Pelodiscus sinensis: one gene and its partners. The main gene of each other region encodes a partner of the protein of the gene in region 4 in a complex. Links are inferred from orthologs where the notes say so. Each region holds a gene or a part of one and is shown on either strand. Other genes may lie near its edges. The genes, in order: FRMPD4, INSC, NUMA1 and GPSM2.

Evidence for each region.
Region 1: the proteins of GPSM2 (region 4) and FRMPD4 are in contact, whole or in part, in a crystal structure (PDB 4WND), measured with the Homo sapiens proteins. The link is inferred for Pelodiscus sinensis from reciprocal best matches to the Homo sapiens genes GPSM2 and FRMPD4. Residues at the interface, in NP_001307967.1 of Homo sapiens: Leu25, Ala28, Leu29, Glu32, Asp57, Lys59, Thr60, Ser62, Ala63, Ile64, Ser66, Gln67, Asn70, Phe73, Tyr74, His85, Asp88, Ala92, Gly100, Lys103, Asn107, Asn110, Thr111, Lys113, His128, Arg143, Tyr146, Asn147, Asn150, His153; in NP_055543.2 of Homo sapiens: Gln988, Leu989, Leu990, His991, Ser992, His994, Met995, Glu996, Met997, Glu998, Pro999, Glu1000, Thr1001, Met1002, Glu1003, Thr1004, Lys1005, Ser1006, Val1007, Thr1008, Asp1009, Tyr1010, Phe1011, Ser1012.
Region 2: the proteins of GPSM2 (region 4) and INSC are in contact, whole or in part, in a crystal structure (PDB 3RO3), measured with the Mus musculus proteins. The link is inferred for Pelodiscus sinensis from reciprocal best matches to the Homo sapiens genes GPSM2 and INSC. Residues at the interface, in NP_083798.2 of Mus musculus: Asn210, Tyr213, Leu214, Phe218, Arg242, Ser246, Asn247, Asn250, Ile253, Phe254, Tyr265, Gln283, Tyr286, Ser287, Asn290, Thr291, Thr293, Leu294, Arg323, Trp326, Ser327, Asn330; in XP_006507722.1 of Mus musculus: Val72, Asp73, Ser74, Val75, Arg77, Trp78, Met79, Asp81, Leu82, Lys83, Leu84, Met85, Thr86, Glu87.
Region 3: the proteins of GPSM2 (region 4) and NUMA1 are in contact, whole or in part, in a crystal structure (PDB 6HC2), measured with the Homo sapiens proteins. The link is inferred for Pelodiscus sinensis from reciprocal best matches to the Homo sapiens genes GPSM2 and NUMA1. Residues at the interface, in NP_001307967.1 of Homo sapiens: Ala28, Leu29, Glu32, Cys35, Lys36, Phe47, Lys59, Thr60, Ser62, Ala63, Ile64, Ser66, Gln67, Asn70, Ala71, Phe73, Asn110, Lys113, Tyr146, His153, Lys157, Pro164, Gln165, Arg203, Gly206, Asn207, Asn210, Tyr213, Leu214, Arg228; in NP_006176.2 of Homo sapiens: Ser1901, Phe1902, Tyr1903, Met1904, Gly1905, Thr1906, Cys1907, Gln1908, Asp1909, Glu1910, Pro1911, Glu1912, Leu1914, Asp1916, Trp1917, Asn1918, Arg1919, Ile1920, Ala1921, Leu1923.

The regions. Positions count from the first base shown.
Region 1 is NC_134711.1:214,148,778-214,155,826, forward strand, and holds the start of FRMPD4 (FERM and PDZ domain-containing protein 4), read right to left. Parts: upstream 3,011-7,049; 5' UTR 2,377-3,010; coding exon 2,306-2,376; intron 1-2,305. UniProt on the Homo sapiens protein: Positive regulator of dendritic spine morphogenesis and density. Required for the maintenance of excitatory synaptic transmission. Binds phosphatidylinositol 4,5-bisphosphate.
Region 2 is NC_134714.1:109,568,622-109,576,574, reverse strand, and holds the start of INSC (protein inscuteable homolog), read right to left. Parts: upstream 3,007-7,953; 5' UTR 2,872-3,006; intron 1-2,871. UniProt on the Homo sapiens protein: May function as an adapter linking the Par3 complex to the GPSM1/GPSM2 complex. Involved in spindle orientation during mitosis. May regulate cell proliferation and differentiation in the developing nervous system.
Region 3 is NC_134711.1:325,289,894-325,297,060, reverse strand, and holds the start of NUMA1 (nuclear mitotic apparatus protein 1), read right to left. Parts: upstream 3,003-7,167; 5' UTR 2,915-3,002; intron 1-2,914. UniProt on the Homo sapiens protein: Microtubule (MT)-binding protein that plays a role in the formation and maintenance of the spindle poles and the alignement and the segregation of chromosomes during mitotic cell division.
Region 4 is NC_134719.1:43,946,066-43,953,371, reverse strand, and holds the start of GPSM2 (G-protein-signaling modulator 2), read right to left. Parts: upstream 3,015-7,306; 5' UTR 2,822-3,014; exon of another isoform or gene 2,742-2,821; intron 371-2,741; exon of another isoform or gene 252-370; intron 1-251. UniProt on the Homo sapiens protein: Plays an important role in mitotic spindle pole organization via its interaction with NUMA1. Required for cortical dynein-dynactin complex recruitment during metaphase. Plays a role in metaphase spindle orientation.

The DNA of each region.
Region 1 (7,049 bases), on a different chromosome or scaffold from region 4:
TCCAAACACTAGCTCAAGGGTGGTTTTCAGAAGGAAAAATTTCACCGTAAGCATAAAACCACTCTCAAATATCAGTTGAAGAAATCTCCTTCAATAGCTACTCTGGTATTTGGTGCTGGAAAACTGAAGCTCCAAAGAAGTTTCCCAGAAAGTTATCAAAGAATAAAGAAGAAAGCTTTGAAGGGAAAGGAGAGAGAGAGAAAGAGATGGAAATTTGCACATTTACACAAAATGCTGTCAAAACAAGCAAGATACAAATACACTGAAAAAAATAAAGAAATCATTTTATCTTCTTTCAGTTTTAAAATCACAGGCAAATATTTGCAGACCAAAACGTGATTTAAGTTGACAATGTAATTTTAACTAAGCCTGACCGTGCAAAATTAATTCTAAGATAGCGCAGTGCTAAGTTATGCCATAACATCCCCCACGCATCACTCACATTGCATTCAAAATCATACACATCAGATAACTTTAATTTTAGATGTGTATGCCAGTGGTCTTTAGGATTCCTTTAAAAATAACGGCAGATAAAATTATTCATAAGTGTGCAACTTGCCCAAATAAGTCTCAGAGAAAGCATTAAATAAAACACTTGAGGTAACACTGGATGATGTGTGAGTCTTGTGAGCAAACTGCTTCATTGTGCATTTTAAGTTTACAGTACTTTGTAGTAATGAACAATTATATTTTTTCCTTCAAATTATACAGTCTGTAAAAAAATCATCTGAGCACACGATTAATAGCTTTTTTAAAGCTCACTGCGGAGCTACTTCCTTCATTACCTGACCTCTCCTTATCTTGGCAGTCAAAATATATGGTATGTTGTCAGACAGATTCTAATCCTACTTCCATGGGATATGATTTGATGATAATGTTACTAAAAGACCAGATCACTAAATCAGCCCGCTGTTTCCAAAGACTGTCAAAACCACAACTAGAAAAAGCCCATTGCAGTCTTTCAGATATTACTTTACAAATCATAATATTTCTTAGGGTTTTTTCTTGTTTTGATTAGCAACAGCTGTAGTATGTTTTGGATAATAAACAGAGAAGCAGGGCCAATGTGAGGTGGGTGCTGTCACTTTCCCCCACATGGCCCTCTGCTTGATCATTGGCCCTGCTCCAGGCTGTATTTAATTTACTGGCGATTTAGACAATTTATTTTTATTACATATTAAAACAATAATGATCAAAAGTGCAAATTATATTAAAAATGCATATGTGACATTTGCTTTGTAGAAGTAAAATCTTCCTTACGCCATATACAAATAAGGTTGAAATATGTTCCTCCATTTTAAACCAAGCACCATAATGAATTCCGTAACATGAGCTGTGTAAAGTACTGTATAAAATACAGAGATATGCTCATGCGTCACACATAGTGGGCTAATGGTCATTTTGACAATTTTGAGTGTATTGATGTTAATGTGGTGAAACGTGGTCTTAGTTAAAGCTTTAAAGAGAGAGGGGGGAGCAGTAGCGTGGAGGGTTCAGCAGTAGCATGGAATTTTATGATTTAGAAAAAGATCAAATTAAAATGATATTTTCCCTTTCATTTTAAGTTACTAATATTTACTTGCGCATACATTCATATCAGAGAACAAATTGAAACTAAGTATCCAAACACTAGAAACAGTGACATATCTTGATCTATCTAAGATATGTCTACGGATTACATTGTTGTCCCAAGCCCACGGATGGATCTGGTTAAATTAGATTGTAATTTTATTCACTTAACGTACCTGGGAACACGTGGCAATAATCATTCTGTTCAGTTCAGCATTACTTCCTTCATCATTTGTACTTATTTGGGAGGGCTGCCATCAGCCCTCACTCTTCTCAACACGATTCTTTCAAGGGACCCTGTCAGTCTCCATGGTATGACGGGGGAGACTCAGGGAAAAGCAGAGGAAGTTGCCTTCCTGCAGTATCAGACTTTACACTACCCAACCCTACTTCCTCCAATTTTCTTAGGGAATGCCTTCCCGCACGACCCCTTCCATAGCTTGTTTACCTGTCTAGGGCACTTGCTAAACTCATCATCTGGCCTAACTTCCTTCCCTACCAGCTGTGGGGAAGGCACCTCCATGTGGCCAAGATAGAAGAGCAAGAAAGATTCCTTCCTAGCCCCCAAAGGAACAAGTGACTAGTGAAATGCCCATCCTTAACATACAAACCTGGCCTTATACTAATCCTACGGGTGGGTGTTGTTGGCCCTAGACAGAAAGAGTTCTTACCATGGTGCATGGTATAAAGATCCGCCCCCCTCTCTCCAGATTGTTGGGCTATTGTTTTTCCATACCTGTTCCTGCCTTGTCCTTTCCACCAGGCTCTGTCCAGGTGTGTTCTCTTTCCCCACTCATTACAATTCATTCCTTTGAGTGCTGCTCCCTAAGAAAGTTTCACCTTCTTTGTTTCTGCAGCCAGACAAAGACTCACGGCATCCAGTTGAAGTGAGCATATTTTCATGTAGGTGATGTACTCATCACCCACAGTGTCTTCCTTGTCTCCGGAACCTCCTACTGGCTGTTTGCCTCTCACTGCACCTCCCATGGTTTGGCCCATTAGCCAATTCGCTTAAAGCTCAATCACACGTGGCATAACAAAGGGTCCAACTAGAACTCAAAGGTGTGAAGTCCAAATAATAATTCTTCCACTCCTTTTCTTTTGGGTGACATTCAGTGTTCTCATTGACCCTCCCTCAGGTCCTCTCTCACAGGAGCCGTCATCTGCTTATGCAGTTGCATGTCCTGTTCTCAGGGGCTGGTAGGGGAACATAGCCCAAAGATCCTGCATTAAATACCTAAGACTGTTCCTTCAGACATGCTATTGTTTTCCTGGGCCGCTTCCTACCTGTAAGGTCCTTTGGCTGCTTCTCTGCAGCCTGTGTTTAACACAGCCTCCCTTTACTACTTAAACCTTGGGCTTCTCCCACCCCAGCTGACCTAATAAGTCTCCCACCTCCTGTGGGCTCCTATAAAATGCTTTTACTGACCTATCGGAGGGCCTCCCTCAAAGGAACTATGCTCGTTCTCCTTCCCACAGAAAAGTTTTGCTTTCTTTTTATTCTTCTCCCCTCCCACAAATTGAGTTCTCCACCCTGTACAGTCTTGTCCTAATCCCTTCTCAGACTGAGTCACTAATTAGCCTTAAATTGGCACATCCTTATTGGCTGGAAGCTAGCTGCTACGTCACAGGCAAGGTTGAGCCTTAAAGGGCCAGCCAGCCTGTGGCAATAAACTTAAAAACTGCACATTTCCATTTCTAGCAGGCATGTCAATCAGTGCACTCTTTACGTAAAGAATGTTGCTTTGTTCTTCGTGTTGTCTTTGCTAAGCTACCAGTAGAGTTACATTTACCTGAACTGACAGTCTTCACATAATAATACTTCATTTTAGACCTTGGAAAATAGGTTACAGAATATTTTTTATAATAAATGACAAAAGTTTAGGAAATATACGTTCTGCTTCAGCACTCCCACCAAGCCTATCATCAGTATCCTAGCAGTACATTATCTAAGTCCTGATGGTCCAGCTCTCTGAGATTAAAGCAATTACAATGCATTAGCAATATGTGCTGTAATTTTAGTTTTCCTCCTCCACTCTGTCAACCCTTGGATACAAAGAGAAACAATTTAGAGTTACTGTCAAAAATGGAATAAGAAAATGAGTAATATGGCAGTGTTATATCACTGGATAATAAGCGGATTTCATTCCTAATCAGTTTCTTCACCCATCACATCTTTTAATATGCTGCATTCTATCACTGCAATCACCTGGCTCCTACCTACCATGCATATCTACCAATCCCACCATGTTGCTTTGATTTTCAATTGCTCAGTCATTTATGCCAGCAGAGAGGTCAAAATAGTAATGCATGGGACCACAAGTAAAAGGCTTTAAAAACAAAAATGAAAGCTATCCTAAGGAGAAACAAAGAGGTGTATTTTTAAGTGCATTCACATGGATGCACCATTTTCTTTGATTTTCCTATATTGTCAACATCCAGGTTTATTAGAGACACAAGGTGGTGATGTAATATCTTTTACTGGATCAGCTTCTGCTGAAGAGACAGACAGGTTTTCGAGCTTACATAAACTTCTTCTTCAGGTCTGTCTGGCAACAAGACTGCATGAGAGCCAGATTTGGCATTTTATCGGAATGCCATTTTTAATACAAATGAGAAGTCCTGTGGCACCTTATATAGTATCATGAGTTTTCATGAGTAAAACTCATGATACTATATATATTTTTGTAAGTTTCTAAGGTGCCACAGGATTATTCGTTTTTAAAGTTACAGACTAACACAGATATCCCTCTGAGATTTTTAATATCAGTTCTCCCAAACAGGTGGGTTGTAACCTGAACTCAGTTCCATTTATGTACAGGCAGTCCCCGAGTTACGCGGATCCGACTTGCGTCGGATCCGCAGTTACGAACGGGGTTTTTCTCGCCCCGGAGGACGGGAGCAGCGGGACGCGCAGATGAGCCGCGGTCCCGCCTCCCGCGTACTCCGGGGCGAGAAAAGCTGCTCCGCGTCTCCCTGGTCAGCTGGGGGGGGAACCCCCCCCCAGCAGACCAGGGAGATGCTGAGCAAAGCCGCGGAGCACGCGGGCAGCGGGACAGCCAAGACGCGCCACGGCTGTCCCACTGCCAGCGTCATCCAAGGCTTTGCTCCCCGTCTCCCTGGTCTGCTGGAGACCAGCAGACCAGGGAGACGGGGAGCAAAGCCGCAGAGCACGCAGGCAGCGGGACCGCGGTGCGTCTCAGTCCGCCGCCCGCGTCTCCCAGGTCTGCTGTGGCGGGGGGGGAGGGAAGGGCACAGCTAGTGGGCGCTACGGGACCAACCAGGCAGTACCCCAGCTGCTCTGCCCCAGGCGTCCTGATTCAGCCGCTGCTCCTCCTGATTCAGCCCCATTCATTCGTCCTGATTCAGCCCCAGCTGCTCTGCCCCAGGTGTCCCCAAGTCAGCCGCTGCTGAAACTGACCAGCGCTGACTACAGGAAACCCGAGGCAGAGTTGCTCTGCCCCGGGCTTCCTGGAATCAGCCGCTGATCAGTTTCAGCAGTAGCTGACTTGGGGACGCCTGGGGTTCTTAAGTTGAATCTGTATGTAAGTCAGAACTGGCATCCAGATTCAGCCTGTTGAAACTGATCAGCAGCTGATTCCAGGAAGCCCGGGGCAGAGCAACTCTGCCTCGGGCTTCCTGTAGTCAGCCGCTGGTCACTTTCAGCAGCTGCTGAATCTGGTTGCCAGTTCTAACTTACATACAGATTCAACTTAAGAACAAACCTACAGTCCCTATCTTGTACGTAACCCGGGGACTGCCTGTATACTGAACAACAAAGACCATGACTAAATTCAAAATGCTCAGCTCAATGTTAAAGACACACCCAGAAGGTTACTAGTAGTGCAGTTTTCAATGCCTCTTATTTTAACAGGTACTACTACTCTGTGAAACTCATAAATTCCTACTGCTATTAAGGTATATGACACAGCTAGCTTTAGTTCACTTGTATTCAGTGGAAAGATTGAAAAACAAAGGCTCTGCTTAGAATTTTTGCTTTTCTTTTTCATGACCAATGCTTTGAGCTCATTTGTAGACATTTCCTATTCCATTGATTTTAAGATCAAAACTAAATAGAAAATTTAATAAAAATGTATCTATAACTCTTGAAGAACAGAGATTACTTAATTGTAATTGGAGTCCTTCAAGATGCTTGGTTCCTACGTGTGTTCCACATGTTGGGTATATGCCTACACTATATGCCCAAGTTCAGAGATTCTTCACAAGCAGTGTTTAATGGCCCACACATGCACCCTCTCTTTATATTCTAGACCAAGTGCATAAGAAGCAGCATAGGCCAACACCTCTCCAATTCCTCTTCTTAGCATGACTCCAACAGGATCCAAAGCAATGGGGTGGATAATGGAATACACATAGGCACTGCCCATCTGGAAGAATTTCTGGCCGCAGGTAAGTAAGCTCTATTTCTTCCTATTGAACTGTAGGCTTGATTACGGGCAGAAAGGTCCTGACTAGGCCCTTCAGGAATTTGTTGTTCAGTGAGTAAAAATTGAATGCCTATCTACTACATGAAGGAAGGCACTGAACACTGCTTGATGGGCTTGCAATAAGCAAAGGGAAAAAACCTGAATTCTTCAGTGACAGGAGATAACCAAAAATGATTGAAATATCTGCAGAGTCCGAGGAAGACGGTTTGGGTTATGGCCAGGCAAAGAAATGTCTCTGTTTTCTCCGTGGTGGCAGCCCAGATGCAATGTCATGGCCACCCAGTCTTCTCATACATGGATGATTGACTCCAAATAGGTCACTCCAGCAATGTGGTAAAGTTTGTGACTTTGTTCCTGTTCCATCTTTGAGCAGTACTTGTCAGTTGCATGCACAAGTCCACTGTGACCCTCACAAGGATTATAACTTTTGTTAGAGTGACTCTGGACCCAATTTCACTGCCTAAAGGCCTCGCTTTGTTCCATCCATTCACCAGACAAAAGACTGCATGGCTGGTCAGGACACCGGTCACTCCCTGAAGCAAGTGAGAAAAGTCACTCTGCCGTTCATGTAGTCCTTGTATGGGGAGTGGATGGATAGCTCAGAGCCAAGCCTATAGGCAGTGTAAATGAAGTCTGGCAAATGGCATCACATCGAGGCCATTTGGCCTAGTAGATACAGGTGTATTCTGACCGTAGTTTCTGGTTTCCAAGTAATATGTGATATCAGATTGCTCATTGATTGAAATCTTTCTATGGGGAGGAAAGTTCTTACTAAAATTGAGGGCCACAGTGGACTTTTGTGAAAACCCTGGGAGCTGTTGCTAGTCTAAAAGGAAAGACTCTGGTAGTGTTCTTGATCTATCAAGAACCAATTAAACTGTCCGTGGGATAAATTATTATCTACATCAAAATAGGCATCCTTTATTTTCACAGCCATAAACCACATTCCCTTACTGATGCTAGTTGTAACCATCCTAAATTTTGACTTCTGAATAAAGATGTTCAATTGTCAAAAGTCTAAACTGGACATCC
Region 2 (7,953 bases), on a different chromosome or scaffold from region 4:
TAGAGCGCTGTGTAGCAGGCCCCTTAATTGTTGCTGTCAGGATGCAGCTATGCCTCGGTTTCTTCACTGGTCAGTGGCTTCCTTTTAGATGACTAAAGACAAGACTATGCAGCACTTTAAAGACAAATAAGATGGTTTAGTAGGGGATGAGCTTTTGTGGGCCAGACCCACTTCCTCAGATCAACTTGTTCCTTCCTAAGTGGAGCACTTTGCATTTGTCTTTATTAAACTTTATCCTGCTTACCTCAGACCATTTCTCTATCAGCTCCTTGAGTATTCTAGGAAACATTTCATCAGGCCTTCGTCACTTGTAGTAATCTAACTTTTCTAAGTGATTTTTAACTTGTTCTTTTTTTATTTTATCTTCTAAACCTACCCCCTTCCCACTAGCATTCACTATGTTAGGCATTTCTTCATCAGACTTCTTGGTGAAGACTGAAACAAAGAAGTCATTAAGCATCTCTGCCTTTTCCATGTTTCCTATTACTGTTCCTTCCTCCTCATTGAGCAATGGGCCTACTGTGTCCTTGGTCTTCCTCGTGCTTCTAATATATTTATAGAATGTCTTCTTGTTTCCCTTTATGCCTGTAACTAGTTTGAGCTCTTTTTTTTCCCCTTGCCTTTCCACAAGGGTCATCTAGTCTATCTCCTGGCCAAGATACAGGTGGGGTTGTATCTAAACCATTCAAAACAGATGGCCTCTTTAGCTTCTACGACCTCCCTAGGTAGTCTGGTCCATTGTCTTTGTTATCACAGTTACATTTTTTCCCCTGAGATTTAATCTAAATCTTCTATGATGTAATTTGCACCTATTGTCTTTTGATCTGCCCTCTGTGGCAAGAGAGAACAACATTTCTCCATCATTTTTATAGCAGCCTTTCAAGCATTTGAAGACTGCTATCACATCCCTCCTTAATCCTCTCTTTTCCAAACTAAACATACTGAAGCTCCTTCAGTCTTTGCTCATATGGCTGACATTCCATTCCTTTGATCATCTTGATTCATCAAGTCCAGCTTCAGACTTAACTGCTTCATTCTTCCCTCTCCCCGTCCATTGCTATTTACTATATTGCTTGCAAGGCCTTCTCTTAGGCCTCTCCATCCTCCTCCTCTCCTTTTGTCTCAGTTGGGAGTACTGCCTCTGGGCCTTCCTCCTATACTTCAGTCACTGAGAGAGCTCTGTCGGCAAGCTGCTGCTCTCTCCCACACTGGGAAATAGCTGCGCCTTGTATCCCACTTCCCAGTAGGCCTTTCCACTCACTGCTACATTCCCATCAGCCTCTTTGGGAATTACAACCCACAGAATGGGTCAGTCCTCAGGCACAGACAGTAACAGCAGTGTTTGGCTTTGGACACATCTGTACTGTGCAGTACACCCTGTTATAGGACACCAGCATATATACCTGCATCAGGAAAAATGTTATTTTCTTCATGTTTGCCAGATTCTGAAGCCAGTTTTCAAAAGTGATGTAGGATGAATAGCAGAATATGGAATACTATGACAGATATTGTTGTAAATGACACTCTGTCCATTTAAAAATTAACAGTTTTACCTCACTCACACCCATCACCTGATTGACTCTGGAAGAATATGCACTTGGCCATGGTCAGCTGGAAGACCAGTCAGTACTATTTCCAAAGTATTCAAAGAAACAGAGAGAGCAACATAGAGAACCAAATTTGAATCACTGCACTCTGCCAAAAGTGAATGATTACCTAGTCTTCCAACTGCTGTTACTACAGGTTGGACCTCCCTTAGCAACCTTGGGACTGGACAGGTCCATAATGAGGGAATTTAGATTGGGGAGGTCAATTCTGGCCCCTTGCTGCCAGTCTCCACACTGCCCAGGGTGGAGCGTCAGACTCCCAGCCACCAGCCCCAGCCGCTGGCCCTGGCAACACCTCCAGCTCTGGCCCCAGCTGCTGGGCCCAGCCACACTCTCAGTACCGGCACCAACCGTGGCTACCAGCCTTGGCAACACTCCCAGTCCTGAATGTGCTCCCAACCCCGATTATACTCCAGGCCCCAGCCACCAACCTGGCTCTGCTCCCAGCTACCAGCCACTCTGCCACCAGACTCCTGGCCGGCCCCTGCTCCCAGCTTCTGGGGCTCTCTGTTACACCCTAAAAGCAATGACTCTAATAGAATGTGGCATACAAGAAAATTCCCATCTAGGACCTAATTTGGAAAATTCCATGTCTGCTTCCCAATTTTAATGAAGGCAGTGAGCTCAGAAATTTTAAGAAAGTTAGTAAAGCCATGTGTAGCACTCAGGATTTGTCCCCAGGTAACTATTCAGTCTCTTTTATTCCCCTCACAACTACACACAAACAAATGATAGACAACAGTTACCTTAAATGCCAAATGTTAATTTTATATCACTATAGATATAATCTGACATCATCTGTAGAAATGCGCTTCTGCATGTTTATCAAGTAAGGAAGGGAGCGAGAGGCGTAACTGTATTTAAAAAATACATTTGTTTTTGTTCCTTTTAAAACAACTAAATGATACCATATGTGGAAATTACATGTTTCCAACATTAAATGCATTTAGACAGACACACCCAATACTGTTTTTTTAAAGCAGTTTAGTCTCAAGGAAATAAGTCCTACATATAATTAGACAAGTCAATATACATTGAACAATATTCTTTTTTTTTTTCTAACTTACCAACCTTCTCTTAGTACTAAACCATATCTTTGCAGACCATTAATCTAGTAAATTACAGGTTTTGGTTAAAACCAACTCATTTTTGTTTCCCAGATATTTAAGGTCTTCAGTCTCTTCCTTACAAAGATTTCTTGCAGTAGAAGTCACATATCATTTCAGTTCTTAAAGTTTCCCCATTTTTAGCTCTATTTACTCACGATTTATCTCTCCTTTGCACATAGAATGGGATCATTCACTCAAAATACGCTTTCTTCAATTAAGTTAGTCAGAACAGAACAAAAACCAGCGCAATGCCTTTCACAGCCACATGGCTTTCACGTCACTGTCTTCATCCTCTCTCTGAGCTACCAGCTCTGTGATCTCTCTTCTTCTGCCTGCATCACACTACAGCTCACAATCAGCAAATCATTTAAAGAAATAGTAACTTCCCTGGAGGGCTGAGCTACACTCTCAGTTTCTCAGGTTCAAATTCATTGAAACCAGCAGTGTAAATGTTATGGTTTTAATAAAGTTACACTTTTACAAATTAATAAAGCATATTCATATTAACTTCTTTATCTTCTAATGGTTTTTATTTACCTAGTTATAACTCCAAGGTTTGACATTAGCACGCGCTAGGTTTCTGGTTACATGGATGTTGAAATGACCCTGGTCGCATATTTGGTCATTGTCTAAGGTAGTGGAATGTGGCTACAAAGACAAAAGGTTTTGGAAGATAGAGCTCTGAACTTCCGGGTGAAGCTGTACCTACCTGATGCTTACAGCAGGTTCTCGTTGTTATGTAATAATTAGAAAAGGCTAACAGACATTTAATTAAATAAAAGCTCTGTCTTAAAAAGGAAAAAAAAACAATTGCTGCAAAGGAACTTGGAATAAGTTCCATACATTTGTGTTGTTTGACTCTTCTCCTTCTGATCTAGGCAGGAGACTGAAAGTCTAGATGCACCTAGAAATGAAAAAAGAATTCAGAAAAAATATTTAAATTTACTGACACTTCAGAAAAACTTTGGCTGAAAGCTTTTGGACAAATTTTATTCATATTTTATTTTATCTGATTTGCTCAACCCTGCTTTACAAGCATCAGAGCTATTCCACCTGCTAAACATTTTCAACAATGTTGGTGGGAACAATTTTTTTAAAACATACTTTTTGAAGAATTAAAATTGGCCTGAATAAGAATTAACAATTGTTGGAACAAGCTATAAAATAAAAGCATGGAAATGATATTAAAATACAAAGCAGATTTCTATAGCTGAGCTTTCCTTGGAGGCGGAGGCTCGCGCTCTCTCTCTCGAATTCTTTCTGGTAAAAAGAGTGCATTGTAGCAGCTACTGTGACATACATTCACTTCAGCTTCTTTCAGACAAAGATGATGCCTCAGAGCCTTTCCCATCAATCAAGATTTTTGCCAGTCTGCAAATGTTCTATAGGTTTTAAAGGTTCCAAGGTCCTTCCTGCTTTAAAGATAAAGGAATTCTTCACTCCTCAAACACTGCAATGACTCTGAGGATATTAGAAATGAGTGATTGTGAGGAGGTGTAATTATGGCTTCATGTGAATGGGACCATTCAGAGAGTTTCCACTAAGGCAGGGGTGTCCAAACTTTTTTCAAAGAGGGCCAGATTTGAAGAAGTGAACATGCGTGAGGGCCGTCCCCGCACCCTCAGCCCCAAGGCGGAGGGCCCGCGGGGTCGGAGGCAGGCGGAGAGCGCAGGACACGGCGGCCCGGGGGCAGGGCGAACCCGCAGCCGAGCGGGGGAGCGGGGCTGCGGACGTGCCCTACAGGGCAGGCTCTAGGACTGCGGAGGCCATGGGCGGCGGCAGCGTGGCCGGAAGCGGCCGCTGGGCGCGCCAGTTCAAAAGAGCGCCGGGGAGCCAGGAGAGGGGGAGGAAGCGGGGGCCGTATTAAACCAGAACACGGGCCGCAATTGGCCCGCGGGCCGGACTTTGGACATGCCTGCACTAAGGGAATGTCTACACTACCTGGGTATTTCAAAATAAGTTATTTTGGAAAAATAACTCCCGAAATAACTATTTCAAAATAGCACATCCACACTACAGGGGAGCCTCGAAATTAGTCTAAGGCAGGCTCCCCTAATGTGGACATGCTACCTCAGTTTGGAGGCCCAGGAGGGCCTGGGGAGGACTTATTTCGAAATAGCAGCAGTGGAGCGTCCATACCACCACTATTTTGAAATAGCTACTTTAAAATAAGCATTAATCATCATGAAATGCAGGTTTATTTTGAAATAAAAAGTCCATTATTTCAAAATAATTTTAAAATAACAGGCTTGCTGTGTGGGCGCTCACCTTGTTATTTCAAAATAGACATGCCCTATGTGATCATTTCACAGTAGCTATAGGCCCTTAGAGGTCTAGCATATCATTAACAAATACTCAAGACCTCAAACTGGTCTAATACCTGTTTGGGTAATGATATTGCCATTATCACATTAATTAGTATTTATTATTATTAAATAGCATCCCAAGTATATTCCCCCATTCTCCCACTGAGTCTCACTATAATATAAAATAAGATCATAGAATACTAGGACTGGAAGGGACCTCGAGAGGTCATCGAGTCCAGTCCCCTGCCCTCATGGCAGGACCAAATACTGTCTAGACCATCCCTGATAGACATTTATCTAACCTACTCTTAAATATCTCCACAGATGAAGATTCCACAACCTCCCTGGGCAATTTATTCCAGTGTTTGACCACCCTGACAGTTAGGAACTTTTTCCTAATGTCCAACCTAAACCTCCCTTGCTGCAGTTTAAGCCCATTGCTTCTTGTTCTATCCTCAGAGGCCAAGATGAACAAGTTTTCTCCCTCTCCTCCTTATGACACCCTTTTATATACTTGAAGACTGCTATCTTGTCCCCCCGCAATCTTCTCTTTTCTAAACTAAACAAACCCAGTTCCTTCAGCCTTCCCTCATAGGTCATGTTTTCTAGACCTTTAATCATTCTTGTTGCTCTTCTATGGACCCTCTCCAATTTTTCCACATCTTTCTTGAAATGCGGTGCCCAGAATTGGACACAATACTTCAACTGAGGCCTAACCAGCACAGAGTAGAGCGGAAGAATGACTTCTCGTGTCTTGCTCACAACACACCTGTTAATACATCCCAGAATCATGTTTGCTTTCTTTGCAACAGAATCACACTGCTGACTCATATTTAACTTGTGGTCCACTATAACCCTTAGATCCCTTTCTGCCGTACTCCTTTCCAGACCGTCGCTTCCCATTCTGTATGTGTGAAACTGATTGTTCCTTCCTAAGTGGAGCACTTTGCATTTGTCTTTATTAAACTTCATCCTATTTATCTCAGATCATTTCTCCAATTTGTCCAAGTCATTTTGAATTATGACCCTATCCTCCAGATTAGTCGCAATCCCTCCCAGCTTAGTATCATCTGCAAACTTAATAAGCGTACTTTCTATACCAATATCTAAATCGTTGATGAAGATATTGAACAGAGCCGGTCCCAAAACAGACCCCTGCGGAACCCCACTTGTTATGCCTTTCCAGCAGGATTGTGAATCATTAATAACTACTCTCTGAGTACGGTTATCCAGCCAGTTATGTACCCACCTTATAGTAGCACCATCTAAGTTGTATTTACCTAGTTTATTGATAAGAATAGCATGCGAGACCGTATCAAACGCCTTACTAAAGTCTAGGTATACCACATCCACTGCTTCTCCCTTATCCACAAGACTTGTTATCCTATTAAAGAAAGCTATCAGATTGGTTTGACATGATTGGTTCTTTACAAATCCATGCTGGCTGTTCCCTATCACCTTGCTACTTTCCAAGTGTTTACAGATGATTTCCTTAATTGCTTGCTCCATTATCTTCCCTGGCACAGAAGTTAAACTAACTGGTCTGTAGTTTCCTGGGTTGTTCTTATTTCCCTTTTTATAGATGGGCACTGTATTTGTCCTTTTCCAGTACTCCGAAATCTCTTCTGTCTCCCATGATTTTCCAAAGATGATTGCTAGAGGCTCAGATACCTCCTCTATCAGCTCCTTGAGTATTTTAGGATGCATTTCATCAGGCCCTGGTGACTTGCAAGCATCCAACTTTTCTAGGTGATTTTTAACTTGTTCTTTTTTATTTTACCTTCTAAAATTACCCCCTTTCCACTAGCATTCACTGTGTTAGGCATTCCTACAGACTTCTCGGTAAAGACCGAAACAAAGAAGTCATTGAGCATCTCTGCCATTTCCAAGTTTCCTGTTACTGTTTCTCCCTCTTCACTGACTTGTGGGCCTACCCTCTCCTTGGTCTTCCTCTTGCTTCTAATGTATTTATAAAAAGTCTTCTTGTTTCCCTTTATTCCCATAGCTAGTTTGAGCTCATTCTGTGCCTTTGCCTTTCTAATCTTGCCCCTGCGCCTTTCTAATCTTGCCCCTGCATTCCTGTGCTGTTTGCCTATATTCATCCTTTGTAATTTGTCCTACTTTCCATTTTTTATATGACTCCTTTTTTATTTTTAGATCATTCAACATCTCGTGGTTAAGCCAAGGTGGTCTTTTGCCATATTTTCTATCTTTCCAACACATCGGAATAGCTTGCTTTTGGGCCCTTAACAATGTCCCTTTGAAAAACTGCCAACTCTCCTCAGTTGTTTTTCCTCTCAGTCTCTTACCAATCAGCTCTCTGAATTTACCAAAATCCGCCTTCCCAAAATCCATTGTTTCTATTTTGCTGTTCTCCCTTCTACCCTTCCTTAGAATTGTGAACTCTTTGATTTCATGATCACTTTCACCCAACCTGACTTCCACTTTTAAATTCTCAACCAGTTCCTCCCTATTTGTTAGGATCAAATCTAGAACAGCTTTCTCTCTGAAATAAAAAGTTGTCTCCAGTGCAGTCCAAGAACTTATTGGATAGTCTGTGCCCCGCAGTGTTATTTTCCCAATATATATCTGGATAGTTGAAATCCCCCATCACCACCAAATCTTGGGCTTTGGATGATTTTGTTAGTTGTTTAAAAAAAAGCCTCATCCACTTCTTCCACCTGGGTAAGTGGCCTGTAGTAGACTCCTAGCATGACATCACCTTGGTTTTTAATCCCTTTTAGCCTAACCCAGAGACTCTCAACATTTCTGTTTCCTATGCCCACCTCCACCTCACTCCAAATGTGTTCATTTTTAATGTATAAGGCAACACCTCCTCCCTTTTTTCCCTGTCTATCCTTCCTGAGCAAGCTGGACCCTTCTATACAAACATTCCAATCATGTGTATTATCCCACCAAATTTCTTTGATG
Region 3 (7,167 bases), on a different chromosome or scaffold from region 4:
GAGAATCACTCAAAATAATGCTTGAGGTGTTTCCTGACAGAGGTACAGGCAAGTAGTTTGCCAAGTAATTAAAATCATGCTAGGAAGAGAGACAACAGTCCCCTTCTCAGGGACTGTTTGGCATCTCAGACATGCTCACAATCTGGAGAAAGGGTGAGGGGCCAAAAGTACAGGAGTGTCAGGTGCACGACAGGTGCACCTTCCGTGGTGGAGTGGCTCAAAGCAAGGACAGCTTACTGGACAGATTAAATTGGAGCCATTCAAGAAAACAGAGGAGCCTCTCAGACCATGAAGTTGCACAGGAGAAGTGTGGATAACATCTGTCCATTCCTGTGCATGGAGCTACTCCAGCAAACTCATGCTCAACAACACTCACACCCTCCTCGCAGTCCACACTTGCAGAATGACACAGACCAAGCCAACCCGCAGCCTCTGCCACGTCTCTGCCAAGCGCACTCCACAAGCTTTATCCGGCTAGGCACAGACCACAGAACGGGGTATTTTCAGCCAGCTTTTGCAGATGTTGGGGGGGAAATCCCCTGAAAACGCAGTTGGCTGCCAGGCAGGCGGGTAGGAGTAAAACTGATTGCCCCTTGCTGGCAGGGCATAGCTGCCTGGCAGGGAAATGACAGCAGGAAGTTTCCCTGCCAGCCATGGGTGGAAGGGCAGGCACTTGTCCAAGGTTGACACCAGGGACTGCAGTGTCTTGGGGGCGCCTGCAGGTCAGGACGGGAGCAGTTCAGCTCCTCAAGCACGGTCCTGAGAGGAGCACAGAAGAGACAGGCTGCAGGGACCCAGCTGTCTGGGGACAGGTAACCCCCGAAGGCCACGCACCCCTTTAGCCCCCTCTCAACACCATCCTCTTAGCCACCCCAAACCACCCCCCCAACTCCCTCATCCCACAGTTCCCCCGTCATCACCCCGCCCCACAAATCACCGCCCCGCAACTCCCTCATCCCACAGTTCCCCCATCATCACCCCGCCCCCCAAATCACCGCCCCCCAACTCCCCCATCCCGCAGTTCCCCCGTCATACCCCGCCCCCCAAATCACCGCCCCCCAACTCCCCCATCCCGCAGTTCCCCCGTCATACCCCGCCCCCCAAATCACCGCCCCCCAACTCCCCCATCCCGCAGTTCCGTCATCACCCCGCCCCCAAATCACCACCCCCCAACTCCGCCATCCCGCAGTTCCCCCATCACCCTGCCCCCAACTCCCCATCCCGCAGTTCCCCCATCATCACCCCGCCCCCCAAATCACCGCCCCCCAACTCCGCCATCCCGCAGTTCCCCCATCACCCTGCCCCCAACTCCCCATCCCGCAGTTCCCCCATCATCACCCTGCCCCCCAAATCACCACCCCCCCAACTCCTCCATCCCGCACTTCCCCCCCATCACCCCGCCCCCCAAATCACCACCCCCCAACTCCCCCATTCCACACTTCCCCCCCATCACCCCACCTCCCAAATCACCGCCCCCCCAACTCCCCCATCCCGCAGTTCCCCCATCACCCTGCCCCCAACTCCCCATCCCGCAGTTCCCCCATCATCACCCTGCCCCCCAAATCACCACCCCCCCAACTCCTCCATCCCGCACTTCCCCCCCATCACCCCGCCCCCCAAATCACCCCCCCCCCAACTCCACCATTCCACACTTCCCCCCCATCACCCCACCTCCCAAATCACCGCCCCCCCAACTCCTCCATCCCGCACTTCCCCCCCATCACCCCGCCCCCCAAATCACCACCCCCCCAACTCCACCATTCCACACTTCCCCCCCATCACCCCACCTCCCAAATCACCGCCCCCCCAACTCCCCCATCCCGCAGTTCCCCCGTCATCACCCCGCCCCCCAAATCACCACCCCTCCAAGTCCCCCATCCCGCACTTCCCCCCCATCACCCCGCCCCCCAAATCACCGCCCCGCAACTCCCTCATCCCACAGTTCCCCCTCATCACCCCGCCCCCAAATCACCGCCCCCCAACTCCCCCATCCCACACTTCCCCCCATCACCCCGCCCCCCAAATCACCACCCCCCAACTCCCCCATCCCACACTTCCCCCCATCACTCCGCCCCCCAAATCACCGCCCCCCCAACTGCCCCATCCCGCAGTTCCCCCGTCATCACCCCGCCCCCCAAATCACCACCCCTCCAAGTCCCCCATTCCACACTTCCCCCCCATCACCCCACCTCCCAAATCACCGCCCCCCCAACTCCCCCATCCCGCAGTTCCCCCGTCATCACCCCGCCCCCCAAATCACCACCCCTCCAAGTCCCCCATCCCGCACTTCCCCCCATCACCCCGCCCCCCAAATCACCGCCCCCCAACTCCCCCATCCCACACTTCCCCCCATCACCCCGCCCCCCAAATCATCGCCCCCCCAACTCCCCCATCCCGCAGTTCCCCCGTCATCACCCCGCCCCCCAAATCACCGCCCCCCCAACTCCCCCATCCCGCAGTTCCCCCGTCATCACCCCGCCCCCCAAATCACCACCCCTCCAAGTCCCCCATCCCGCACTTCCCCCCCATCACCCCGCCCCCCAAATCACCACCCCCCCAACTCCCCCATCCCGCAGTTCCCCCATCATCACCCTGCCCCCCAAATCACCGCCCCCCCAACTCCCCCATCCCGCAGTTCCCCCATCATCACCCCGCCCCCCAAATCACCGCCCCCCCAACTCCCCCATCCCGCAGTTCCCCCGTCATCACCCCGCCCCCCAAATCACCACCCCTCCAAGTCCCCCATCCCGCACTTCCCCCCCATCACCCCGCCCCCCAAATCACTGCCCCCCAACTCCCCCATCCCGCAGTTCCCCCCCTCACCCCGCCCCCGCTCCCCCATCCCGAGCTCCTCCTCCCCCAGTGGGGCGAGCGCCCCCGCGGCGCGGCCCCGGCCCCCGTTACCGTATTTTACCGTATTGCCCGAAGCGGCGCGGCCCAGTCCCGCAGCTTCCCCCCGCGCGGCCCCGCGGCCCTCACCGATTCAAACAGCTGCGCCGCCCCCCATTCCCTCCTCCCTATTGGCTGCAGGCCGGGCGCGCGTCAGCCCGCGCCGATCACGTGAGGGGAGGAACTACAACTCCCAGGAGCCCATGGGCGGTGAGGCCCGAGTGGATCCCGCGAGAGGTGAGGGAACTCTCGCCACCAGGCCCCCTGGGAAATGTGGTTCCCAAAGACCTCCCGGCAACTACGTTTCCCAGCGCGCCTTGCGGAGTGTGGGCGGGGTGGAATTTTTGCTGTGATGCTGGTTACCATAGCGACCCCGCGAGTTCCAGATAGGGGGGCAGAGAGGAGCAGAGATGGTGAGTGTGAAAATGTTTGCACTGAGTGTGAAAAGAGGGGCCAGGGGCTGGTGGATGTGCAAATCTGTGCAGGGCTCTGGTGGGTGTGAAAGGAGAAGTCTGGAACCAGTGGGTGTGTAAATCTGTGCAGGGCTCTGGTGGGTGTGAAAGGAGAAGTCTGGAACCAGTGGGTGTGCAAATCTGTGCAGGGCTCTGGTGGGTGTGAAAGGAGAAGTCTGGAACCAGTGGGTGTGCAAATCTGTGCAGGGCTCTGGTGAGTGTGAAAGGAGAAGTCTGGAACCAGTGGGTGTGCAAATCTGTGCAGGGCTCTGGTGGGTGTGAAAGGAGAAGTCTGGAACCAGTGGGTGTGCAAATCTGTGCAGAGCTCTGGTGGGTGTGAAAGGAGAAGTCTGGAACCAGTGGGTGTGCAAATCTGTGCAGGGCTCTGGTGAGTGTGAAAGGAGAAGTCTGGAACCAGTGGGTGTGCAAATCTGTGCAGGGCTCTGGTGAGTGTGAAAGGAGAAGTCTGGAACCAGTGGGTGTGCAAATCTGTGCAGGGCTCTGGTGGGGGTGAAAGGAGAAGTCTGGAACCAGTGGGTGTGCAAATCTGTGCAGGGCTCTGGTGGGGGTGAAAGGAGAAGTCTGGAACCAGTGGGTGTGCAAATCTGTGCAGGGCTCTGGTGAGTGTGAAAGGAGAAGTCTGGAACCAGTGGGTGTGCAAATCTGTGCAGGGCTCTGGTGAGTGTGAAAGGAGAAGTCTGGAACCAGTAGGTGTGTAAATCTGTGCAGGGCTCTAGTGAGTGTGAAAAGAGAAGTCTGGAACCAGTGGGTGTGCAAATCTGTGCAGGGCTCTGGTGGGTGTGAAAGGAGAAGTCTGGAACCAGTGGGTGTGCAAATCTGTGCAGGGCTCTGGTGGGTGTGAAAGGAGAAGTCTGGAACCAGTGGGTGTGCAAATCTGTGCAGGGCTCTGGTGAGTGTGAAAGGAGATGCCTGGAACCAGTGGGTGTGCAAATCTGTGCAGGGCTCTGGTGGGTGTGAAAGGAGAAGTCTGGAACCAGTAGGTGTGTAAATCTGTACAGGGCTCTGGTGCGGGTGAAAGGAGATGCCTGGAACCAGTGGGTGTGCAAATCTGTGCAGGGCTCTAGTGGGTGTGAAAGGAGAAGTCTGGAACCAGTGGGTATGCAAATCTGTGCAGAGCTCTGGTGGGTGTGAAATGAGATGCCTGGAACCAGTGGGTGTGCAAATCTGTGCAGGGTTCTGGTGGGTGTGAAAAGAGAAGTCTGGAGACAGGGATGGATTAACTCTTTTGGGGCCCAGGGCTATTAGATTTTGTGGGTCTCCCTAGGTTCTAGGTGGGGCCAAAAATGAAGGGTTCATAGTGCAAGAGGGGGCTCCAAGTGGGGGCAGAGGGTTGGGGCACAGGAGGGGGTGAGGGCTCTGTGGTAGAGCTGGGGATAAGGGATTTGGGATGCAGAAGGAGGCTCCAGGCTGGGGCCAAGGGGTTTTGGAGTGCAGGAACAGACTCAGCTCAAGAGGTGGGGATGGGAATGCAGGGTCTGGGCGAGAGTTAGGTGTGGAAGGTGGAGGTGGGGGTGGACAGGAATTTGTGCCGGGGCAGGAGGTGAGGTTCAGGGTCTGGGTGGAGTTAGGGTGCAGGAGGGGGATTAAGATAGGAGGTGGGGTGTGGGGTCTGGGATGGGAATTAGGGTGCAGGAGGAGCTCAGAGCTGGGGTGGGAGTTGGGATGCAGGAGAGGGGCTCCGGGGATAGGGATGTGGGGTCTGGGTGGGAGTTAGGATGCAGTAGAGGGCTCAGGGCCAGGCCAGGTAGGGAGTTGGGATGCAAGGTACTTCCCTGCGGCAGCTCCCCTCTAGTGGAGCAGGCCCTGGGGAGGGGAGGGAGCAGGTGGCTCTATGCGCTGCCCTGTGCTTGCCAGCAACCCCCCCTCCTCCTCCCCGCAGCTCCCATTGGTTGTGGATTTCTGCTAATAGAAGCTATGGGGGCAGAGCCTTCAGGTGAGGCAAGCATACAGATGGCACTTCCTGGTGCTTGCTGCTTCTGCCTAGCGGGGGCAGCAGCACATAGGCTGTGTCCAGACTCCATGCCTCCGTCGACGGAGGCATGTAGATTAGCCAGCTCGGAAGAGGGAAATGAAGCCGCGATTAAAATAATCGCGGCTTCATTTAAATTTAAATGGCTGCCCCGATCTGCCGATCAGCTGTTTGTCGGCAGATCGGGAGAGTCTGGACGCGATGCCCCGACAAAGAAGCCTTTCTTCATCGACACAGGTAAGCCTCGTGAAACCAGGTTTACCTGTGTCGATGAAGAAAGGCTTCTTTGTCGGGGCATCGCGTCCAGACTCTCCCGATCTGCCGACAAACAGCTGATCGGCAGATCGGGGCAGCCATTTAAATTTAAATGAAGCCGCGATTATTTTAATCGCGGCTTCATTTCCCTCTTCCGAGCTGGCTAATCTACATGCCTCCGTCGACGGAGGCATGGAGTCGGGACACAGCCATAGAGCCACTGGGGGCCAGAACACTGCAGCCCCTACTGACTGTGAAAATCTTTGCAAGTGTGTGTGTGAGAGAAGGGGACCAGGACTAGTAGGCATGAAAATCTGTGCAAGGCTCTGGTGAATGTGAACAAAGATGTCTGGAGCTAGTGGGCGTCAAAATCTTCAGGACACTAGTGAGTTTGAAAAGTGGGCTCTGAGGCTAGTGGGTGTGAAAATCTGTGCAGGACACTGGAGTGTGTGTGTGAAAATCCAGGTAATTGCTTGATGAGTGTGAAAGGCGATGCCAGAACAAAGTGTGTGTGAAAAGCCAGGTTCTGAGCATACTAATTATTCAAGGGCATGCCATGTGAAATCACAGTGCTGTAAATATAAATCTATGATGTCACAGAGCGTGCAGCTCTGTGAACTGGGTGTGCAACTCTGTGCAGGCAGCAGCTTGGGTGTGCAGCTGCAGTCAACTTCCCGGTTCCCTGGGCCTCACTTCTGATGGAGAGAGGTAACTAGTGGTGCCCCCAAGGGTCCGTACAGGGACCAATCCTATTTAACCTATTTAAATGGTCTGGTGAAATGGGTAAACAGTGAGGTGGCAAAATTTGCAAAGGTTACTAAACTGCTCAAGATACTTAAGACCAAAGAAGACTGGCAAGAGCTTTAAAAGGATCTCTCAAAACTATGATTGGGCAATAAAATGGCAAATGAATTTTAATGTTGATCGATACCAATGCACATTGGAAAAATAATCCCAACTACACATATAAAGTGATGGGACTAATTTAGCTACAACTACTCAGGAGAGAGATCTTGGAGTCATTGTGGATAGTTCTCTGAAATCATCCACACAGTGTGCAGCAGCCATCAAAAAAGCAAACAGGAAATTGTGCAGACCAGGACTTTCACAGGGTCCAAAAAAGAACTAGATACATTCTGGAGGTTAGGTCCATCAATGGTTATTAGCCAGGACGGGCAGGGAGGGTGTCCCTGGCCTCTGTTTGTCAGAGTCTAGAAATGGGTGACAGGGGAGAGATCTCTTGGTGATTCCCTGTTCTGTTCCCTCCCTCTGGGACATCTGGCATTGGCCACTGTCAGCAGACAGGACACTGGGCTAGATGGACCCTTGGTCTGACCCAGTGTGGTCATTCTTATGTTCTTATGATGAAGCAGCATCCATTTCTGGCATGACTGAACGGAAAGCATGGCAGCTCTTCCCATAACTAGGCAAGACAGGTTCTTATATGGACCTCCTCAGTCCTCACCCTGGTATCAGAGTACCTTAAAGTGCTGGTAGCCTACAAATCTCCCAGGCAATGGACAGTATGGTGGAGCCCTGTGCAGATACAAAACTGGTATCTGGTCTGCAAAAATTGGTCCT
Region 4 (7,306 bases):
TATTGCATGTAAACTGTCCTTGCGTCTACACTGCCATGTCGACAAAGCAGCTTGCTTTGTCGACAGAACTGAATGTAGTGTAGACTCTCTTTGTCGACAGAAGCTTTGCCGACAGTATCTGTCGACAAAACTTCTGTCGACAAAACCCTGTAGTCTAGACGTACCCTACGACTGGGCCCTGAGTACTTACTAACCCCAAGTTAGACTGATTTATGGATGGATGGAAGGCTCAGCATGCACTGTAAACGTACCTTAGATGTGTGTAAAAGTACCTTAGGCGTTCATATGGGTTTAGATTTTCTAAGATTAAAGGGATTCAGGCAATGTGGCGTTTGTTCCAATGGGAGAAATTTCATTTTTGGAGACAAGTCTACACAGAAGAAAAAATAACGTGGCAGTGAGTCTTAGCATGTAAGTCAACTTATTCAGGCTCACTGTGCAAGCTAAAAATAGCAATATAGACGTTCAGTCTCAGCATCCAGACTCCAGCCCAGGGATGAGCAATAAAATGGCAGCAATTCACCAGGGTTAGCTCCTGGTGGGCTGCTGCCACTATATTTATCTGCACCACTGCAGGTATGGGCAATCGCAGATCCCATTGGCTGGGAACAGCAATCCATGGCCAACAGGAGTTGTATCTGTGGAGGTGCAGATAAATACAGTAGAGCGTGGGGCCATCCAGGGGCTAACCCTGGCAGACCTGATCACCAAACTCCCCATTCCCCAAGAGATCTCTGCCCTATGGTTTTCCTTGGGACTCTCCAGAAATTGTATAGAAAATTGCACAAGGTTAACAAGGTTGCTTCACTGGCTCTTGAGAAAAGAACAACCCTTAGTGTAGGGAAAAAAGGAGCAGGAGACTTTTAAGAGGTTAGAACAAGTACTAGTGACAGCACCCGCGCTAGCTCATCCACAAAGGGAACTCCGTTCTACTTAGAATTACCTACTGCTCTTGTTAGTTTGGGGACTGTCTTATTACAGAAGAAAGGGGGAAATCTGAGGCCGCTCGCCCAGGCTTCCAAAACACCGAGTGAGGGAGAGGCACAGTACAACCTATGTGAGCGAGAGGGGCTGGCACTGGCATGCTCCCTGACTCAGTGGGAGTATCTAACAGGGACAGCTCCATCGCAGTCAGGACTTGCTACACACCAGTTAAATTAGTCATATCAGGATGCATAAATGAAGACCATATGTCATCTCCAAGATTAGATGGATGAACACTGAGTATAATAAATCAGGAAATAACATCAGAGAAGGTTCTGCATATGGGAATACTACCATATTAGGGCTGTCAATTAACGCATGTTAATGCCTGCGATTAACACAGGGCAGAATTAACACATTACAAAAATTAACATGCATTAATTGCAGGTGCTAGCGTGGAGCCCGGGTTCAGCTGTACTGCTGCTGCCCCTTTGAAACGTCGCAACAGAGTTTCAAAAGGGCAGCAGTGCAGGGAGCCCAGGGTCTGCTGGGGACTACAGCTGATCCTGGGCTCCCCACGGTGCTGCCACTTTGAACACTGGGCTCCCTGCAGCGTTTCAAAATGGCAACAGCGCATGGAGCCCAGGGTAAGTGGGGGAGTCCCCAGCTGATCCCAGGCTCCAGGCAGCACTGCTTCTTTGAAACACTGGGAGGAGCCTCATGCTGGGCTCCCTAAAATGTTTTAAAGTGGCAGCATCATGTAGAGCCCGAGATCAGCGGTTCCACGGCACTGTCGCTTTGAAATGCCGCATGTAGCCTGGGGACACCTGGTCTGGCCCAGGTTTCAAGCAGCACTGCTGTTTTCAAGTACCCCCTTCGTATCCCTTCCTGTCCCCCTCTTGATGCCTCTTTCTGATAGAGGCAGCAAAGGGGGAGGGGAGGAAGCAACCAGTCCCTCACATCACTACTGCAGAGAAATTAATTAGTTATTTCTTCTAGAGCAAGAGCCCTGCATGTTGCTCTGTGTGGAAAGGAATATCAGCGTGCTGGACTGGGATAAAATCCACAAGGAACAGTAGCTCTCATGCCCACAACCACTGGCACATGCATCCGTTTTGGGTTCACCACCCCTACCCCAAGAGCATCACACATCTCTTTGCATATATCACCCCCCTCAACTCATCACCTTTCCCTAACTGATCCCTCACAGCTTAGCACCCCACATGCAGAAAACCTCCATCTTCATTAATTTGTGCCCCCAACCAGTCAACGACCCGCTTCAGCCAGCCCCCACCTCCAGTATTCGACACCCCCGGCTCAGCACCCTCCCCTCCAGCCAGCCCCCACCTCCAGTATTCGACACCCCCGGCTCAGCCCCCACCCCTCCAGCCAGCCCCCACCTCCAGTATTCGACACCCCCGGCTCAGCCCCCACCCCTCCAGCCAGCCCCCACCTCCAGTATTCGACACCCCCGGCTCAGCCCCCACCCCTCCAGCCAGCCCCCACCTCCAGTATTCGACACCCCCGGCTCAGCCCCCACCCCTCCAGCCAGCCCCCACCTCCAGTATTCGACACCCCCTCCCTCCAGTCAGCTCGCACCCCCATCGTCTGCCCCTCCCCCAGCTCGCCCCCCCAGTAATCGATACCCCTCTCAGCGGCCGCTCCAGCTCAACCCCCCACACCTGCCCTCAGCGATACCCTGAGTCACCTACTGCCCCTTGGCGCCCCCAAAGCTGCTGCCTGCACAGTCGATACCCCAACTCTCCACGCGACACCTCACACTGCCCCAGCAGCGCCCCGAGCTGCCCACGTCTCACCCCTAGGGCCGCTCTGTCCGGGGCTGCTGGGCTCGGAGTGCGGCCCCGCCCGCCCCAGGCCTGGCCTGGCCTCGCCTCACCTCAGTACTGGGGTCGCCCGCAGCTGCCGGACTCCTCCTGGTCCGATCGCCCGTCTCGCACACCCCCGCAGCAACACCCCGCCCACCGCGCTACTGACCAACCCCACAGCGACACCCGCTGCAGCGCAAGAAGGGGGGGGAACCCCGATGCTGCCAACAGACGTTGCTCCACCCCCCCTGCGCACCCACTTCGAACTCGCCAATAGCAGGCGCCGCTTTCGCCGACGCTCTTACACCAATGTCGTTCCCCTCCCCCTGTGGCAAGGAAACCCAACGGCTCCGCCACTGTCGCGTTCTGCGCGTGCGTCAAGAGTTCCTTACCGTTTTCGTTCTGACGCCGGGCAGAGCTGGCCAATGGGAGGCCGGGCTTTGAGTGGGCTCTGGTCCTGTTCTAGGGCGGGAGGTCGCGTAGTCAGTGCGGTGGGGAGGGGAAGAGGTGCCTCGTGTGGGGCCGCCCGGGGAATGAGGGGGAGCCAGGAGGCAAGGGGGGAGGGGTGGTGCTTCCCGCAATGGAGGGAGGAGGGCTGAGTGGCAGGCCCCGTTCCTCAGTGGATTTGGGGGCGTGGTCATGCTCCACTCTAGCTGTGGGCGGGACAGTAAGGAGCTTGTCGGGGGGGGGGGGGGGCTTGTCCCTTTCCCCTGGGGAGGGAGATTTGCGGCAGGGCTGTTGCCTGCCGTACAGCGGCCACCTATCCCCATAGGCGGGGTTCTCCTTTCCTACTCTTAGTCCACCTCTCTGACCAGTTATCTACACTGACAGGTGCAGCTGCACTTGTGAAGGTGCCACTACCTATGTGGACAAGGCGAGCGTCTCCTGAGGGCTACTCCACCATCCTGAGCCCCAGTAGCTGTGGGAAGGAGAGAAGTGCTCCCCGCCTTGCCACCTGTTCTTCCCAGTTTTCCTTCAAGAGGTCAAGGATACCCCATGGTTGTCGGCCATATAATAGCTCAAAGGGCGAAAACCCGGTAGAGGCCTGGGGGACCTCCCGTATAGTGAACAAGAGGGCTGACAGGAACAGGTCCCAGGCTCTGGGGTCCAGCCCTCCAAATTTTCTCAGCATCCATTTCAAAGTACGATTAAAACGCTCCACCAGCCCGTCTGTTTGGGGGTGGTAGACTGTAGTCCAGAGCTTTTTCACCCCCAACAACTTGCACAACTCGGCCATTACTCAGCTGGACACGTTTGTCCCTTGGTCCGTTAGGATGTCTTGGGGTATCCCCACCCTCCAGAAGTCCAACCAGGTCCAGTGCTACCCTTTCAAAGGGTGTATCTACCACCGGCAAGGGGACTAGTGGAGCTTTGGGCACTCTTCTCCGCCCTCCCCCCCCCCCCAGGTGCACGTTGGCGCCTGTGCAATAAGGGAACGCCGATGTGTGTCGGATGTCATGCGGAGTACTGTGGGCAAGGCCCACGGCAGTGACCGGGTGGGGGATACGTGCAGTGCTAGCATGAGTAGTTGTGGGTCTCATGCTGAGGTTAGTGGAGCTGGCAGAGTGACCTACCCGCACTACTGTCCCTATTGCCCCCTATGGCAGCTCGAGCCCCACTAACTCCGCCCCACCCATGCGCCAGCTCTAGTGCCCAGGAGGGTTCCCCCGCTGGTCCCCCTTTTGATTATCTGCCCCGCATGTCGCATCCTGGAGCAGCGTGCCAGGTGCCTCCCTGGCCTGCACCTCAGACTCCAACTGCCCTGCACGTGCTAATGGCTCCCTCCGGGCACGGGCTGCCACAGGTTTGAAAATGCTGCAGAAACTGCCCTGCGAAGAGCAGAGCCGCTTTCTCTCTGTCCTGGTGCAGGGAAGTGGGGAGCATTGAGCTTGCCGGAATTAAAACGTGGGAAACACGTTTGCTCTCACTGGCCAGTTAGCTCAGTTGCTTACCGTGTGGTGCTAATAATGCCGAGGCCGCGAGTTCAGGCCCTGGCTCCTTTTGCTCGCCGTGCATTAGCTCCGCCAGGGCAAGAGAGATTTCCCCTTTCATTCCTGCCAGGCACAAGTGAGGGGAAGGAAGGATTTTCTTTTCCATTCCCCCCTCACCCCACCGGGCACATCATTGATACATTGCATATTTTTCCACATCCAATAATTAGCTTGTTGGTACTTTGCATATTGTTGGTACCAACAATAATTAGCTTGTTGGTACTTTTCCCAGGCCAAATAATTAGCATTCTCAGGTGGGAAACATTCAGCAAAGATAGCTATGTGATCTTCCCAAGTTCTCCTGCACTCCCATACCAGGTGCATTCCTACACTGTACCATCTTGAGCAAACAGCTAACTCTCTGAGAATAACAAAGGAATAATAAGAAGCAAAAAGCACAAATGGCTACCTAGAGCATCCAGGCCTGTAAGAAAATGCAGGCACAAAAGGAATGATTGTGGTACACCACCTAATTTCCTCGACCTCACAATCGTCTTCCGCATTTCCACTACCCCCCGCCAGGGGAGGAAGAATTTCCCTTTTCATTTCCCTGTGGAGACAGGTGCAAAGCCCATAGAACAAAAAGCACCATCCATAAACTCTCCAATCACCTCAATGCTATAATGCTAGTCTGCCATTTTCCTTTTCTTATTAGGATAGTGCTGAATATCCCTGCCTGTCACGCAGGAGACTGGGCCCCAATGGGGACAGCGCTGCTGCCGCCACCACCTTTTTGCACAGAGAAAAAGAAATGCCGCCTGCCTGGCCAGCAGGGTGGCCCTTCTCCTCTCAGTCTGGCAACCAGCACTTCCACCCCCTGCAAGGTGATTTTTACCTGTAGAGAGACAATGACCCCTCAAAGCCAGCAGCTTGGGCTTGCCCATGGTAAAACCTCACTGCGAGACATGCCCACCAAGCGCACCTGCTGCAGAAGGCAAAGGGAAAAACTATGGCTGAAGGCATGAAGACAATCGCCCATCCAAGGCGGGTGGTGATTGAGAGAGAAAAGCGGAGCAGCATCAGGCCAGTGTAGCGTCACAAGCAGTTGCTCACAATCGGCTCCCAGTAGCAGTTACTGACATATTAGTATGTCAGTTTCTGCTTTGCTCAGTTTTTGCTACCCATCCATTTATCCATTTATGGTTACAGAAGGAGCTAATCCTGATAGATGGGGGTTCACTGTGTCACACTTTTCTGCCTTTGCACCAGCAATTGGCCCAGAGGGGCCTTTCGCAGCCCCTGGTCCAGAGGGAGCTAATCCTGATAAATGGAGGTTCACTGTGTCAGAGTTGGCTGCCTGTGCACTTCCCCCCTCCCTCCCCTCCCGTTGTCCCAGGTCCCACACACTGCTGAGGTCCCTGGACCCAAGGCGGTGTTACCCCAGAGTCTCAGTAACAAGTAGAATCTTTTGAATTAATTTAGAATTTAGGATAAGGATCTGATCGAAGATATTAAGTGCTCTGGTTACCAGAAGGGAGATCCCCTGACACTGTATCTGTCACCAGTGATTTTTCCTCACAAGAAAACTCAGTCCAGATTAAAGTTAAACAACATGTTTTCCAGTCACTGATGACAATCGCCATTTTAAGTGTGCACCTTACCCAAATTCTGTACACAGTAATTGCACTATAAACATTACGAACAGATCAACATTATAACATTAGAGTCCCTCTAGCAGCAGCACTTCCAGGCATACCACGTGCCACTCCCAGCCCTGAGCCTCTCCCCCGACCCTCTCCCATCCAGTGGCTTTTATTATGAAAAAATACAAAGGTTTTGTTTTTCAACTCAAAACTGGTGTCTTTATTGATTGTACAGGAAAGGGAAGGATTGTGGTAGGAAAGGTACAGTGGGCCCAGGCCCCTAGTGGGGAGGTCCTAGGGAGAGTTACTGGGGTCTTTGAAAGAAACTCTCCCTCAGGACCTTCCAGATGAGCACCTCCACTTTATGGGCCTGGAGGATTGCAACTGTGCACGGCTGTTCAAACATCCTTCCTTCCTGGCTGGCCTCTGCCCCCCAGCCCTGTAGGAAGGCTCCCCATGCTGAACTGATATCCAACAGATCAGAAATTTTCAGGCGTGGTGAGCTTCCAAATCATGAGGTGACCTGCTTTTCCAGGGAGATGGTGGGTCTCATTTGTGTTTCCCATCGTGTGAGGGCTGGGGTGAGCCAGGCACACAACTCCAGGAACATCATCTTTCTCATATCAGAGTTCTGGAGCCACTGTTGGTCGTCCCACCGCTCCATCATTAGCCAGCCCTACCAGTAGGAACTGGTGTCTAGCCACCAGAAGCAGTGCTCCACAGTGGGGTGTGCCTGAAAGAGCTGCCCCAGACACGTTCTCTCACAGCTTGGGATCATGTTCCTGCAGGGCATGGAGGGCAGCCTGAAGAAACTGCAGCACAGTCAGGGGCTGTCACATGCCCAGAGGCAGCTCCAGCTCCATTGCAGGGAGTGCTGTGGTGTCCAAACATAGAGCAACCAAAGCTCACAGTGGAAATGCTTTGCAGTCCCTCAGAGGTAGGCAAGCAGAAGAAGAACCTAAGAAACAGATGTATGGGGGGG